Sus scrofa: one gene and its partners. The protein of the gene in region 3 interacts with the protein of the main gene of each other region in a pairwise test. Links are inferred from orthologs where the notes say so. Each region holds a gene or a part of one and is shown on either strand. Other genes may lie near its edges. The genes, in order: MAPK9, AGTR1, ARRB2 and ADRB2.

Region 1 (3,589 bases), on a different chromosome or scaffold from region 3:
CTTAATCCATTTACATTCAGTGTGGTAGAATTTTCCAAAATGGTTCCAAAAATCCCAGGGTTCGATTCTAACTTTGCTCCTTCTGGCGTTCTCACATGCTTCAGTAGTCACTGACCTCACAAATCCTTACCAATGTGAGATTGTTTACTTAGCATGCTTTGGTTCATTTTTCTAATTTAAACCATTTCTATCCTAGGATTTGAAACCTAGCAACATTGTAGTAAAATCAGATTGCACCCTTAAGATTCTTGACTTTGGCCTGGCCCGCACAGCATGCACCAACTTTATGATGACCCCCTATGTGGTGACACGGTATTATCGGGCACCAGAAGTCATCCTGGGCATGGGCTATAAAGAGAACGGTGAGTACAGACAGAACTGAAAGAGGCTGAGATGTTTAGAAAGAGTGCTATTAGCCATCACTAGTTTTTTTCCCTTTCCTGTGAACTATATGGAATATAATATGGAGACTGTATTATACATAGCTTATGGTAGTTCACAGATGAGAAATAATTAATTTTATATTTCCTTCAGTTAAAATTATTCACTTTAAAAATTCACTTTTGAGATTAATATTTTTGAACATTTATCAAAGCATAACACACTTACAAGGAGGTATGCAAATCCCTAGTGGGCAGCTCGGTCGGAGCACACCCACATAACCAGCGGCACCCCAGACTCTCCGGACCCTCTTTGGGTCTCAGCCCCTGAGGGAAGCCATTATCCTGATTTCCAGCACCATAGATTGGTTTTGCTTATTTTTAAACTTGATATAAATAGAATACAAAATGTGCTTTTTATGTATAGAATTGGTAGTTTTTTTTTTGAGGAGAGGTGTAGTTGTTATTATCCTACTAATATTTTAGTTGATTTACTACTGTAATGCCATGAAATTTTCTAAATATATGGTACCAATATATTTCTAAAATTGGTATTTTTTTAACAACAAAACTTATTCTAACAATATCAGAGCTCTTAGAAACTTAGCTTTTGACAAGTTTGTCTAAATTTGACTTTTGACTAAATCACATTTCCTTGTTAAGAAAAAAGGAGTCTGAAAGCTTGCCCAAGTCATATGAAATGAGTTGCACCTCAAGTTTATTCAGATGTTTTATAACCTGTGTTCCCATTCTGAGAGACACAGCTCTGTGGGCTTCCATTCCCCCGTGGACATGAGAGAAAATCAGATCCCCTGTTAGCTTCTCCCACCCGACCCCCACCAGCAGGGGCACTAAACAGCCCTCTGCCCTGGCATCTGAGGCCTGGGGTTGAGCTGGACCCCACGAAAGAGGGTGAACGGCCAGAAGTTAGGTCACCTCTGACCTGGCCTCATCTGGAGCCCAGATAAGCCTGTCCCCATGAGGCCCTGCTGACTTGACAGTTTAGAAAAGGTTCATTCTGGAGGTTTAGTATTCATATTTTACAAAAGTCTTGCTGACAAGCTGGGTTTGTCTTTGTTTGGGAGGAGGGTTTGAGAAAAGGCTTGTGGGGGTCTCTGGCTGGTTTTAATCACCTGGTGTTTGGTAGTGGACATCTGGTCTGTCGGGTGCATCATGGCAGAAATGGTCCTCCATAAAGTCCTGTTCCCAGGAAGAGACTGTATCCTTCACAGGGAGAGACCTGGCACTGGCCACAAGGGCTGGGGGGTGGGGGTGGGCCTTTGCCTAGAAACATCTTCGTGGGGATAAGCACTTCTTATTTCTGGGGCTTTGTTTTTGAAACTGTAAAGTATTGGGCTCTTTGGCACTAAAAGCCCAGATTGCTGCAAACTGAAGGCCAAAATAGAGATCAGCAATCTTTCATACTGTGTAAAAAGTTCACCCTTAATGAGCAATTTATTTTCCATATTTGTGTGTTTAGTATACTGTTAGAATTCCTTTTCCTCACCTTTGTTTTGTTCATGGCACTTCATAATTTTGTCATTTCATTTTATTTTCAGTTGATATCTGGTCAGTGGGTTGCATCATGGGAGAGCTGGTGAAAGGTTGTGTGATATTCCAAGGCACTGATCGTATCCTTCCCGGGGACCTTCCCGGCCATGCTTTCCATAAACACCAAAGGCAGCAGGAGCTCAGAAGGAAAATGTTAATTCTAGACTGTGTTCTAAGGAGGTCTTGATTGTGTTTGTTAAATTAGTGTCACAAACCAAATGGTTCCATTTTCTGTTTTCTTTTTTACTTGACTACCTGTAATGGTTTTATTGAGGCATAGAATTAAGTTAAACCAATTTATATTAGTTCTTAGTTTTATTACAAATAACTTGTAAGAAACTTACTCTTTGACAAATGTATTTTGCTATTTAAATGAAAATAATATTTATTTAGTTCATCCTATTAGTTTAACTACGAAGTTGTCTAAATTTCATAGGCCAGTATTCTTAATGTTATTTGTTTAATAAACTATTTCGTTAGTTACCAGGATGCATTCAAATATTTCTCCCCAAACTAAGAACCAGATAAAGCACACTGCATAAGACCTACATGAAAAGATTAAAGTGAAAAGTTTGTGAGGAACAATATGTACTCAATTTTTTTATTTGTTACCCTTCTGACATTCTGTAGAAAATTTTAGAAGATCCACTTAGAAGGTTATTTTGTGACACATTGGGGAAGTCTAAATAAATATAAGATTAACTTATATTGTGGTCAACAAATCATATCAACGATGTATAGCATAAAGGAGAATAGATATATGATAGTTACAATAGCTTTCTTTTCTCATATTCCTCATATTCTTCCATCTTCAATATTTTTTACTCTAACATGGTACTTCACATATACCCTTTTCCATTTGTGTTCTAACCACTTAAAATTTTCATTAGTCTTTTGATTTTGTTTTTTGTTATGAAAGCCTAAAGTGGTCTCTGTCTGCTGGCAGATTGATGGTTATCTTTAAAAGAAATCAAGTTGTGTAGTCGATGTTTTTAATGTATTTTATTAAAGTAATTTTAGTTTTTTATAATTTTATGAGGGTGGTTTTCTTGTAATGTAAATTCTTCGAACACCAACTTGGAATGAAAAGATTTTTTTCCTATCGTTTTATTTACCTTCCTTGACATTTTTCACATCACAGATTTTATGTGAAGGTAAATATAGCATTTATTTTGTTCCAATAAATTTTCTAGCAATTTTCCATACTCTGACCTTAGATTCAGCTACTTCAAACTGCAAATAAGGGGATCTTTAATTTGCAAATAAATTCACTTAAAAAGGGAAAAGTTGATGTATTCTAAAGATACTACTTAGAAGTATCTACTTAGTATTCATTTGTCTTAATTTTTATTCATTTTGCATCTTTCCTTTTTTATTAAACGTTTTCTTTAGGAGGTACAGAAATGAAAAGTATGGGAACTTTTTGGTGCATTATTAAGTAATTTTAAATTCTTAATTTACATATTAATATATTGCAATGTCAGTAATTAATAATTTTATATATAAGGTCACCTAATGTCATTCTCAAAACACATATGGAGATTACATCATTTCCAAAGATAATTTTGCTAACTTTTTCAAACATTAGATTAAAAATTACTAGCATAGAAAAAGATTCTGGGAGTTCCCGTTGTAGCTAAGCCAAAATGAATCTAACT
Region 2 (3,589 bases), on a different chromosome or scaffold from region 3:
ACCTGACAAAATGTGCAGTAGCAGGTACAATGGAGCCATAGTTGATAATAGCTAAATAGGCACAAAAGCTTTACTGCCCTTTGGAAATTGGACAGAGAAATCTTGAGCTTAGATCTCCTGTTGCTCCTCTCAAGGTTTAACATATTCTGAGGACCTTTTTGTGGAAATCAAAAATAACAGAACAAGAGTCGACTGGGAGGATGGCATTTATACTGGTAAAATTTTCCAAATCAACACATTCATTCAGTTTCTGACATGGTCCTTTGAGTGGACATCATCTATCTAATGCGAAATGTGGCAACATGTGACTCTGCTTTGTATAGGTGCAAAGGGAAAGAAAAGCTTTTGTTCAGAGCATTAGAAAAGTCAGTTCAGTCCACATAATCCATTCTCTTCTTAAATTCTAAAAAGTAGCTCGTGCTCATTTACTAGCAAAGTGTTGTAGAGGAATGTTTCTCTTGCTCTTTCTTTCACAAGATGACTTCACAGGTTTCAAGTGTGTCACTCAACTTCAGTACATGGGGCAGACTTCTTGGTGGAAGAGCTTCCATTTTCTGAGGGGCGGTAGGAAAGTGTGCTCATTTTTGTAGACAGGCTTGAGTGGGATTTGGCCTTTGGAGGAATGTATTTCAGAAGCTGGAGAAAATATTTTTTAAATTTTTTCCCCAGAAAGCCATAAAAGAGAGGATTCAGGCAGTTGTTAAAATACGCCAAGCAAATAGTGATGGGCATGGCGGTGTCGACAATATCTGCAATTTTACAGTCATGTATGATGCCCAACTGAATCAGTACATCCAGAAAAGTGAATATTTGGTGGGGAACCCACGAAAAGAAAAAGAAAAGCACAATTGCCATAATTATCTTGAAAATATCATCATTTCTTGGTTTGTTCTTCTGAATTTCATAAGCCTTCTTTAGGGCTTTCCAAATAAGAGTATAACTTGTAAGGATGATCAGAAAAGGAAACAGGAAACCCAGTATATTCTTGGTTAGGCCCAGACCTACAGGGAGTGTTGAATTTTGGGATTCATAGTGGAAAGCACAAACTGTGATATTGGTATTTTCGATGAAAAATACATTGCGGTGGATTATAGTTGGCAAACTGGCCAAGCCAGCCAGCAGCCAAATAATGATGCAGGTGACTTTGGCCACAAGCATTGTGCGTCGAAGGCGGGACTTCATTGGATGTACGATAGCCAGGTAGCGATCAATGCTTAGACATGTGAGTAGAAACACACTGGCATAGAGGTTGAAACTGACACTGGCTGAAGCGATCTTACATAGGTAATTGCCAAAGGGCCAGCGGTATTCCATAGCAGTGTAGACAGCCCACAGTGGCAAAGTCAGTAAAAAGCATAAGTCAGCTAGTGCTAAATTCAAAAGAAAAACACTGGCCACAGTCTTCAGTTTCATGTAAAAGTAAATGACAATTACCACCAAACTGTTCCCAAATATTCCCACCACAAAGATAATACTGTATAAAGTAGGGATCATGACAAATATGTAATTATGCCTTCCAGCTTTGGGGCAGTCATCTTGGATTCTTTTAATACTATCTTCTGTGGAAGAGTTGAGGATCATTTTGATCTCCTGGGTTAATTAGTCTCAGACACTACGCCAAATGCACCTGGGAAAAATAAAAATGAAAAAGTAAAAAAAAAAATTCTAACTTACAGTTGTAAACAAATAGTTTTAATTCTCAATCAAAAGTAACTCTATTTTTAGGGAAAAATATAGATCATGTGTTCTGGAGAAAATCTGTGCACACTTAAGTTTTGAACATATTGCTTTTCTAGAAAGTGGTAAATATTCTCTAGACAAGTGGTAGTGGGGTCCTATGTGACTACTCAGTTGAGATCCTTTGCATTTTTTTTCTGGAAGGAAATCCTACCTTCCAAATTGATAAAAAAACACAATCTAAAGCTCAGAAAATACTACTGAATTAAATTAGTTATTCAGAAAGACTTGAGTTTTTCCTGAGGTAAGCAAGGCTAATTAATTTGTATTTAACTTCAGAAAGGTGACACGTCCATATCCGATTCTTTGAACCATTTTTTTTTTCATATTACAATCTTAGGTATAAATATTATTAGCATTCTCACTTTAGTGGTCTGAATAACTGCTATAGCTTACTGAGGAATCGTGGTCATTGTGAGGATTGATTTAGGAGAGGATAAAAGGCAGGGCTCAAGGCTTTAGTGTACATATGCTTTCCATAATTTTCCAGGTCACTACAGGCAATAACCACTTATTCCTTAACTTTCAACTCAGTCTAGCAAAAGGGCCTGAATCTCCTAATTTTTATACCTACAAGCCATTTCTGGAGGTAACTCTGAGCTTAACCATTTATCTAACAAGGATGTCAAATGAATAGATTAGATCAGGCTTATCAATAAAACATGTGTTTTTTGGAGGCTCAAGACAGCAGAAGTTTTTCAGGGTTTTAGAAAGAATCAGATGCTGGAATGAGTGCTATGAAGATGTCTGCACATATTTTCTCCAATATTTTACATAATTAACAATCAAGCTATTCATTTGTGTGGTTTAGAAAAAAAAACATATTTTGCCCTAGACAAGGGTTCATTAAAAAACCCTTGGAAGGAGGCTGAAGATGCTATGAGGGTAACATGGCAGGATGTGGCACAGGCAGACCCTGAGGTGAAGGCCCGCACTAGACGCAGGCGAGGCTGGCCAGCAGGGTAGTGGTATTGGGTAAAAATCCTATTGTTCCACCAGAAGCAGGTCCCTAGATGAGCCGGTGTGCATTTCCCTTACCTTGTGTCCTGGGTAAGAAGAGGAATAAGAATAAGACACTACTAATCTGCCCAGGATAGCTGTGCTTGGCATTGGGAGAGCTGGATAAACATGCATGCCTAAGGCAGTGTCTCTCTTGGTGCAAAGTGGTGCTGTGAAAGGGATGACACTCAAGTAGCCAGATTCTGAGAGATAACACTGGGAAAAGAGGGTTCTTAAGTGGCCTCTTTGCCTCCCCCAAGGAGGCAGTTTTTCTCCCTATCCAAGTTTTTGGCTCTGCATCCTCATTATCTTCTCCTTTTGTACTTGTAACTATATAATCTAAATCACTTCCTTTTCTTTTTTCTTTTCCATTTAGGGGTTGCATGAGCATCCACAAACAGGCACTGTCACATCCTCTATGGAACCTTTCTGACTTGTCTGGGCAATTGGCTGTTCCATTTTCTGAGCTGCTTTGGCACTTTGGATGTGGTTTTGAGCTATATATTGTAATGGTCTATTGATATAGGTCTTATCCACTGATTTGTCAGCTGCTTGAGGTTAAGGCCTGTTTCAAATCATCTTGTTTATTACTAGGGTAGGCCCTGGCACCTTCCAGGAGGCAGATGATAAATATATGATGAATAAGAGACCAAGTGCACAAATGAATGAATGAATAGTATATCACTTAAAGCTGTAAGCAGAGAGTATTAAGACTAATTTCCAAGGGCTAATAGACTCAATTTACATTCTACTCCCAAAGAATATGACAGAAAGTACTCAGTGTCAACATGGGCTTCATCGTGAAGCCAAACTCAAACCCAAAGCCAAACCCAACCAAACCAAGCTAAAAATA
Region 3 (3,133 bases):
GGGGGGCACATGTCCTCAGGCAGGGATGCTAAAGGGCCAGGACCTGGGGTCCTTGCGGGGGGGGGGGGCGCGGGCTGGAGTTGGGTGGGCTGCTGTCTACACTCCATGCAGAGCTGCTTGGCCCCGCCCCACAGTGAGACAGTACGCGGACATCTGCCTCTTCAGCACGGCCCAGTACAAGTGCCCCGTGGCTCAGCTCGAACAAGAGTGAGTAGCAGAAGAGCCCTGGGTCCCCCTGGTCAGGGGGGAAGAGGGGCCCCGGAGTGTGAGGAAGGCGGGAGTCCTTCCCCGCTGTCTCCGCTTCCAAGCACATTCCCTCCCGTTGGGGGCTCTGAGCCGCTCATGTTCTGGAGCGGGTTGAGCCCGTGACCCAAGGCCAAAGGGAGAAGGGGCCGGTGATGGGGCAGAAGCCGCTTGGGGGTGGGAGCCACCCCCTCCGCCCGCCTGGCCCTTCCCAGAGTTTCCTTCTCGTGTCCCCCTGCCCCAGTGACCAGGTGTCGCCCAGTTCCACGTTCTGTAAGGTGTACACCATAACCCCCCTGCTCAGCAACAACCGAGAGAAGCGCGGTCTCGCCCTGGACGGGAAGCTCAAGCATGAGGACACCAACCTGGCGTCCAGCACCATGTGAGGGGACGAGGGGGTGGGGGTGGGGGGTCCTACAGCACAGGAGACACTCATTCCGTGCCAGCCGTGTGCCAGGCTCTGTCCCCGGGGCCACGGCCCCATCAGGGAGCAGAACAGACCCAAAAGATCTCTTACGTTCTCAGGGAGGAGGCCAGGCAAACCAGATAAATGGCAAAATATACAGCATGTTTAGTGCCAGCTGTTGAGAAAAAGGCAGGCAGAGAAGGGAGGTATCAAGGGGGGGGTGACTTTACAGAGGGTGGCCAGAAAAGGCAAAATCCAGAGGCGACTTGGAGTAAGGACACAAAGGCAGCAGGGCTGCAGAGGTGTCAGGCGAGAGGGCCCCTGTCTTTGGAGCAGGTACAGCTGCACAGAGTGGGGGCGGATTTCACCCCCGGGCCCTGCGCCCTGTGCCTGACCACACACGGCAGGCCAGCGTGGGAGCAGGAGGTGCGGTCAGAGGGCTGAGGGAAAGCAGGTCAGTGCAGGGCTGATGGGTCCCAAGGACGTGGGCTGTGACCGAGAGAGCGAGACGAAGATGGATGGGGTACGTTACACGGCAACAGCCCGTGCTGCTGGAGCCGGGGATTCCTGCTCAGAATCCCCGTGGAGGCCCCCAGGGTGGGCTAGGGTGCGAGGAGGCCGTGGGCTCTGGTCCAACTCCCCCCCCCGCCTCCCCCCCGCAGCGTGAAGGAGGGTGCCAACAAGGAGGTGCTGGGAATCCTCGTGTCCTACAGGGTCAAGGTGAAGCTGGTGGTGTCTCGAGGCGGGTGAGTGCTGCGGGTGGGAGCCTGGGGGTCGGGGGCTCTGCACGGGCCTCTCTTCATGCCGCCTCTCCCCCCCCTCAGAGATGTCTCCGTGGAGCTGCCTTTTGTTCTCATGCACCCCAAGCCCCAGGAGCACATCACCCTCCCCAGACCCCAGTCAGGTGAGCCTGCCACCCGCCCCAGCCCCCAGAGAGCGGGCCCGAAGCAGGGCCAGTGGAGACAAGGCGGGTCCTTTCAGCACCCACCCACCCCCCCTCCTTCCTTCTCCCCTCAGCTGCGCCAGAAACAGACGTCCCGGTGGACACCAACCTCATTGAATTTGATACCAAGTAAGACACGCCTCGGCCCCAGCTCTGACGCCCCTTGGTCGGAGATGCCTTACATTCACATCTACCCATTTTTTCCTCTTGTGGGGGGGGTGGTCGAAGCATCCAAGCGAGATGAGGCAGCCTTGCGAGCTGCCCATGGCCACCTCTTCCGGGTCCCTTCCTGCCAACACCTCCAGTCCCATTGCTGCTCTAACGCCTCTGTCTCTGGGGGGGTGGGGGTGGAGAAGAGGGTCAGGAGCCCTCGCCTCACCCCCTCCCTCCACACCAAGCTATGCCACGGACGACGACATCGTGTTCGAGGACTTTGCCCGGCTCCGGCTGAAGGGGATGAAGGACGAGGACGGCGAAGACCAGTTCTGCTAGGCGGCGGCGGCAGCGGGGGGCGGCTGGCAGAAGGGAGTGGATGGTGCTGGGAGAGGGAGGGGCAGGACCGAGACCCCGCTGGCACCGGGGGCTCCAGCCTCTCTTCCCCTGCCCTCCCCTCTCCCTGGGCGGCTGCCGCGACCAGCCCGCCTCCCCCTCCCCACCAGAGACGCACTGGACCCATCTCTTGGGGAACATGGGCATTAATCTTTCCACGACAGCTGGGCTTCCCCAACCCCGCAGCGGGTGGCACGCTGTGTTCATACCTAAGTTTTGTGGAGGGGCCACTGGAGAGGCGTGACAGCAGGGAAAGGGGGAGGACGAGCTCCCACATTCAACCTCACCCCGACACCCCTGCCTGTCACCACCTCTGCCTCCCATTCCTTCAGGATGAGACCCTCTGGGGGGCAAGGCCACTTTGTTTCTGAGGCTAAAGAAGAAAATAAACCTTTTAATAGGCACGCGCGTGTGTGTGTTTTCTACGGCACGTTTAAGGAGGACTTCGTGTGCTCGTCCACGACTGTCCATTGTGCCCCATCCCTTCTCTGTCCCCACATGTCACCAGGCCCCCAGGCTGTCAGTACACGTTTCCTGAATGGCTGAGCTGTACCTGAGTTCCACGGTAAACATGGAAACTTGATGTGGTCAGTCCAAACTCAAGGGCACAATGTGGTAAGCCACAAAGTAAACTCATTCATTCACAGAGGGAGTAATAGCTCACGTTCCTGCAGATGGGATGCTCTTGGGACTGGGCAGGGCAGGCCCTTCCCCGTCGCGGCTGACACACATGACTGCGTGGTGACTTGTGACCGAGTGTTTGTTTCCACTGCTCCTTCTGGTCGATCAAGCGGTCCATTCCTGGGGCTTGGTGGAACCGCAGCTGCGGGCCTCAGCGGCAGAAGCCACCTGGCAGACACCTCCCAGGAGCCTGGTCCTTAGACTGCACACAGAAGCCAAAGCTCTGGGCAGCCGAAGGCAGTGGTGCTGCTGTGGACAAGTCCAAGACACTACGTCCTACGCTGCTCCTCTAGTTCATCAGGGACTCCCAG
Region 4 (4,310 bases), on a different chromosome or scaffold from region 3:
GTGTTTTAAGGCATTTGTCATGCAAAAACAATTTCTGCTAGTGAAGGAAGTTAAACAGGGCATGTGGTTTTGCTTCTGAGTTCTGGAGTAAATGCCCAAGTCCTTTTGTCCTAAAGTACTTCAGTGTCCACTAGTGAACACTAACAACATATTCTGGACTATTCAGTAATTTATATCAATCTCATTTATAACCCTACTTGAGTGAAGTTTTTACTTGCAAAAGCACTATCTCATTTATCATTACATCATTTGGTTCTCATTTAGCTCAAAAGAAGCAACTTTATTGCACATTTAGACATAGAGGAAATTAGGCTCCAGATTTTGGATTTGCCTAAGGAATGTGAGCTAGAAAGAAACTGGAATGCAGTATTCCAATTCCAGTTGTAATCCTTCTCTACCCTCCACTCTGTTCTGCACATGGTAAAGCAGTACATTGAAAGGATTAAAAAAGAGATTTTAGAATCAGGGAGAACTGGGTTCAGCTCCTGCCTGGCATTGCCAGGCTGTGCCTGTGGGCAAGCTATTCTCCTCTTCCAGCCCCCTTTGTGAATTAAATTAAAAATAACTATCCGCCCCACCCACCCCAGCACACACACCACCAGGCGACTGTGGGAAGGATGAAATGGAATAATGCATGAAAAGCACATAGCAGAATGTTTCATAAATGTTAGCCATTGTTAAGTTATTATGTAATCTAGAAAATATGTTTGGTTACACTGAGTGAAACACTTTCAGTTCTTCAAAGACACTACTAATACATGTAAAAATCAAACCCTGAAAATTAATTTCTTTTTAACAGTGAAGTCACATGCCAGATGCAAAGGCTAATATTTCATGGAAAATGACCTCGTCTGAAGCTTGGTCTGACTTTTTTAAGAAAAAATACCTTTTCCTTTCTGTGGTTTCAAACCTTTTTTTTTTTTTTTTTTTTTTTTTTTTTTTGTCATTTTGCCATTTCTTGGGCTGCACCTGCGGCATATGGAGGTTCCCAGGTTAGGGGTCTAATCGGAGCTGTAGCTGCCAGCCTACACCAGAGCCACAGCAACGCTGGATCTGAGCCACATCTGCGACCCACACCACAGCTCATGGCAACACCGGATCGTTAACCCACTGAGCAAGGCCAGGGATGGAACCCGCGACCTCATGGTTCCTAGTCGGATTCGTTAACCACTGCGCCACGACGGGAACGCCTCAAAACATTTTTAATGTTACACATTCTTAGTAATGTGAACCATAATAAATTGCCATGTTTTAGAAGCAGAGATTATAGAATAGCAGCAATTTCATATGGCTCGGATCACCAAACTACCCAGCAGATGATTTTTCTAGTTGCCCAGGCATGAATGAAGTAGAGCTTCAAAGAAAAATTATTCTATTTTCAGTACATTTTCACTTGAACAGATAATGAAGGAGTGATGCCACACTCACTAGAATTAAAATTAAAGCATACAACTTTCTCTTTCTGTCCCCAAACACACGCATGGATAGCCCAGGTCTGAATGAAATCCCAAGCGTAAAAGCCTGTCTCAGTGCCTGCAGATTCCCAAGGAGAGCACCGAAAGTCCTTGACAGCGAGCGAGCTGAGGAAATGGGCAGCTGCTGAAGTCACCTCCTGAGGTCTCGCCAAATGTTTGAAAGGGAATATGCGAAATGTCCGCATGCTGGGGAGGAAAGGACGGAGATCCAGGGTGCCGGAGAAGGGTTTGTAGAACATGGGTGGGGACGTCCTTGGCTGTGACTCCCGGCTTGCCTCCACGTGGCCCTTAGTGTGTTGTTTACTTCTTTTCGTGTGTGCCTATGACTTTGTGGTTCTGGGTGCTGCTGGGTTTGTTCCTGACCACGTCTCTGCGTTAGTTAAGGTTGACTTTGCGCCGATTTGCTTGTGTGTGTGTGTGTGTCCGTGCGCGCACGCGCGTGTGCTTGTCGGTGTGCTGGATGGGTGTGTCTGCGTGTCGGTGGCTGTGGCTCCGTCTAAGTCCGTGCACGTCTGCCAGGTGAATTGTGCCTGTCCGTGCGTGTCCTGGCGGGCACTCTCATTCTCGTCTATTTCCGAATAGGAGGGAGTGCCTGCGCACTACCCTCTGCCCAGGGTCCTCAGGCCTCACGACAAGCCCGGGCAGGCAGGTAGCAGCCACAGAAGACTGCGCAGCTCCCAGCTCGCTGGTAAGCGGCACCCCCCAACTTCAGCTTCAGCCCTGGGGCCAGCCTGGGTAGCCTGGAGGGAGTGGCGACCGGCCGGCAGGGAGCAGCGGGGCCCCGCCCGGGCCAGCCCCAGGAGGAGGCGGGAGAGGGAGGGAAGGGGCGGGGGGGGGGGGGGGGGCCTCGCCCCTTTGGGGCTTCCCGCGCGCCATTGGTCCCAAGTTGGAGCACGTCACGGGGAGGGCAGTTCCCCTCAAGTCCTGTGCACATAACGGGCAGCGCGCACTCCGAGGCGGCTTCTCCGGAGCGCAGGCAGAGACCCGCCGGCACTGCGAGCCTCGAGCACCCCGGGAGCTGAGTGCACCACGCGCCCCCTCCACACCCACCCCACGGCCGCTGAATGAGGCTTCTAGGCGCCCGCTCGCTGCCCGCAGCCCCCCGCCGGAGGTCGGCCCGCTGAGGCGCGGCGGGTGCGCCGGCTGCCAGCGCGCTCACCTGCCCGCCTGCGCGCCATGGGGCAGCCCGGGAACCGCAGCGTCTTCTTGCTGGCGCCCAACGGAAGCCATGCGCCGGACCAGGACGTCCCACAGGAGCGGAACGAGGCATGGGTGGTGGGCATGGCCATCGTCATGTCGCTCATTGTCCTGGCCATCGTGTTTGGAAACGTGCTGGTCATCACAGCCATCGCCAAGTTCGAGCGTCTCCAGACGGTCACCAACTACTTCATCACCTCCCTGGCCTGTGCTGACTTGGTCATGGGCCTGGCGGTGGTGCCCTTTGGGGCCAGCCACATCCTCATGAAAATGTGGACTTTCGGCAGTTTCTGGTGCGAGTTTTGGATTTCCATTGACGTGCTGTGCGTCACGGCCAGCATTGAGACCCTGTGCGTGATCGCCGTGGATCGCTACCTTGCCATCACGTCCCCCTTCAAGTACCAGTGCCTGCTGACCAAGAACAAGGCCCGGGTGGTCATTCTGATGGTGTGGGTCGTGTCGGGCCTTATCTCCTTCTTACCCATTAAGATGCACTGGTACCAGGCCACCCACCGGGAAGCCTTAAACTGCTATGCAGAGGAGGCCTGCTGCGACTTCTTCACCAACCAGCCTTACGCCATCGCCTCTTCCATCGTGTCCTTCTACCTGCCCCTGGTAGTCATGGTCTTCGTCTACTCCAGGGTCTTTCAAGTAGCCAGAAGGCAGCTCCAGAAGATCGACAAGTCTGAGGGCCGCTTCCACGCCCAGAACCTCAGCCAAGCGGAGCAGGATGGGCGGAGCGGGCCGGGACATCGGAGGTCCTCCAAGTTCTGCTTGAAGGAACACAAAGCCCTCAAGACGCTAGGGATCATCATGGGGACGTTCACCCTGTGCTGGCTGCCCTTCTTCATCGTCAACATTGTGCACGGGATCCATGACAACCTCATCCCCAAGGAAGTTTACATCCTGCTAAACTGGGTGGGCTACGTCAACTCGGCGTTCAACCCCCTCATCTACTGCCGGAGTCCAGATTTCAGGATGGCCTTCCAGGAGCTTCTGTGCCTGCACAGGTCTTCCCTGAAGGCCTATGGGAACGGCTGCTCCAGCAACAGCAACGGTAGGACTGACTACACAGGGGAACAGAGTGGCTGTTACCTGGGGGAGGAGAAAGACAGCGAACGGCTGTGTGAGGAGCCCCCAGGCCCGGAAGGCTGTGCACACCGGCAAGGTACTGTGCCCGATGATAGCACTGATTCACAGGGGAGGAACTGTAGTACAAATGACTCCATGCTGTGATGCAGGTGTCTACTTTCTAAGCGCCCCTTTCCCTCCCAGCCAAACACTAAACAACTCGAGTGTGATGAATTTAGAATGAACGTCTATAGAGATGTGCAGGAGGAGGAACATCCTTCTGCCTTTTTATTTTTTATTTTTTTAAGTTGTAAAAAAGAGAAAACATTATTTGAGTGATTGTTTCTTGTACAGTTCAGTTCCTCTTTGCATGGAACTTGTGTAAGTTTATGTCTGCAGGCCTTCGGTCCCAGAGGACGTGGGGCTGGTATGTTTTGATGACTTTTCCGCATATCTACCTCATTGATCAAGTATTAGGGGTAATATATTGCTGCTGGCAATTTGTTTCTGAAGGAGACCTTCCTTCCTGCACCCTTGGACTGGAGGATCTTGAGTCTCTCGGACCTT

Evidence for each region.
Region 1: the proteins of ARRB2 (region 3) and MAPK9 interact in binary tests that used the Homo sapiens proteins (3 or more experiments, as listed by UniProt). The two-hybrid records come from large-scale screens. The link is inferred for Sus scrofa from reciprocal best matches to the Homo sapiens genes ARRB2 and MAPK9.
Region 2: the proteins of ARRB2 (region 3) and AGTR1 interact in a two-hybrid assay, tested with the Homo sapiens proteins (2 studies listed by BioGRID and IntAct, with this or other methods). The link is inferred for Sus scrofa from reciprocal best matches to the Homo sapiens genes ARRB2 and AGTR1.
Region 4: the proteins of ARRB2 (region 3) and ADRB2 interact in binary tests that used the Homo sapiens proteins (3 or more experiments, as listed by UniProt). The link is inferred for Sus scrofa from reciprocal best matches to the Homo sapiens genes ARRB2 and ADRB2.

Annotation. Positions count from the first base shown.
Region 1 is NC_010444.4:78,379,952-78,383,540, forward strand, and holds part of MAPK9 (mitogen-activated protein kinase 9), read left to right. Parts: intron 1-196; coding exon 197-362; intron 363-1,527; coding exon 1,528-1,599; intron 1,600-1,939; coding exon of another isoform or gene 1,940-2,011; intron 2,012-3,589. UniProt on the Homo sapiens protein: Serine/threonine-protein kinase involved in various processes such as cell proliferation, differentiation, migration, transformation and programmed cell death.
Region 2 is NC_010455.5:88,976,373-88,979,961, reverse strand, and holds part of AGTR1 (type-1 angiotensin II receptor), read right to left. Parts: intron 1,628-3,589; 5' UTR 1,582-1,627; coding exon 502-1,581; 3' UTR 1-501. UniProt on the Homo sapiens protein: Receptor for angiotensin II, a vasoconstricting peptide, which acts as a key regulator of blood pressure and sodium retention by the kidney.
Region 3 is NC_010454.4:52,161,188-52,164,320, reverse strand, and holds the end of ARRB2 (beta-arrestin-2), read left to right. Parts: coding exon 1-207; intron 208-487; coding exon 488-625; intron 626-1,311; coding exon 1,312-1,395; intron 1,396-1,473; coding exon 1,474-1,553; intron 1,554-1,630; coding exon of another isoform or gene 1,631-1,666; coding exon 1,667-1,721; intron 1,722-1,990; coding exon 1,991-2,084; 3' UTR 2,085-2,545; downstream 2,546-3,133. UniProt on the Homo sapiens protein: Functions in regulating agonist-mediated G-protein coupled receptor (GPCR) signaling by mediating both receptor desensitization and resensitization processes.
Region 4 is NC_010444.4:150,031,145-150,035,454, forward strand, and holds the start of ADRB2 (beta-2 adrenergic receptor), read left to right. Parts: upstream 1-1,504; 5' UTR 1,505-2,163; intron 2,164-2,418; 5' UTR 2,419-2,651; coding exon 2,652-3,908; 3' UTR 3,909-4,310. UniProt on the Homo sapiens protein: Beta-adrenergic receptors mediate the catecholamine-induced activation of adenylate cyclase through the action of G proteins. The beta-2-adrenergic receptor binds epinephrine with an approximately 30-fold greater affinity than it does norepinephrine.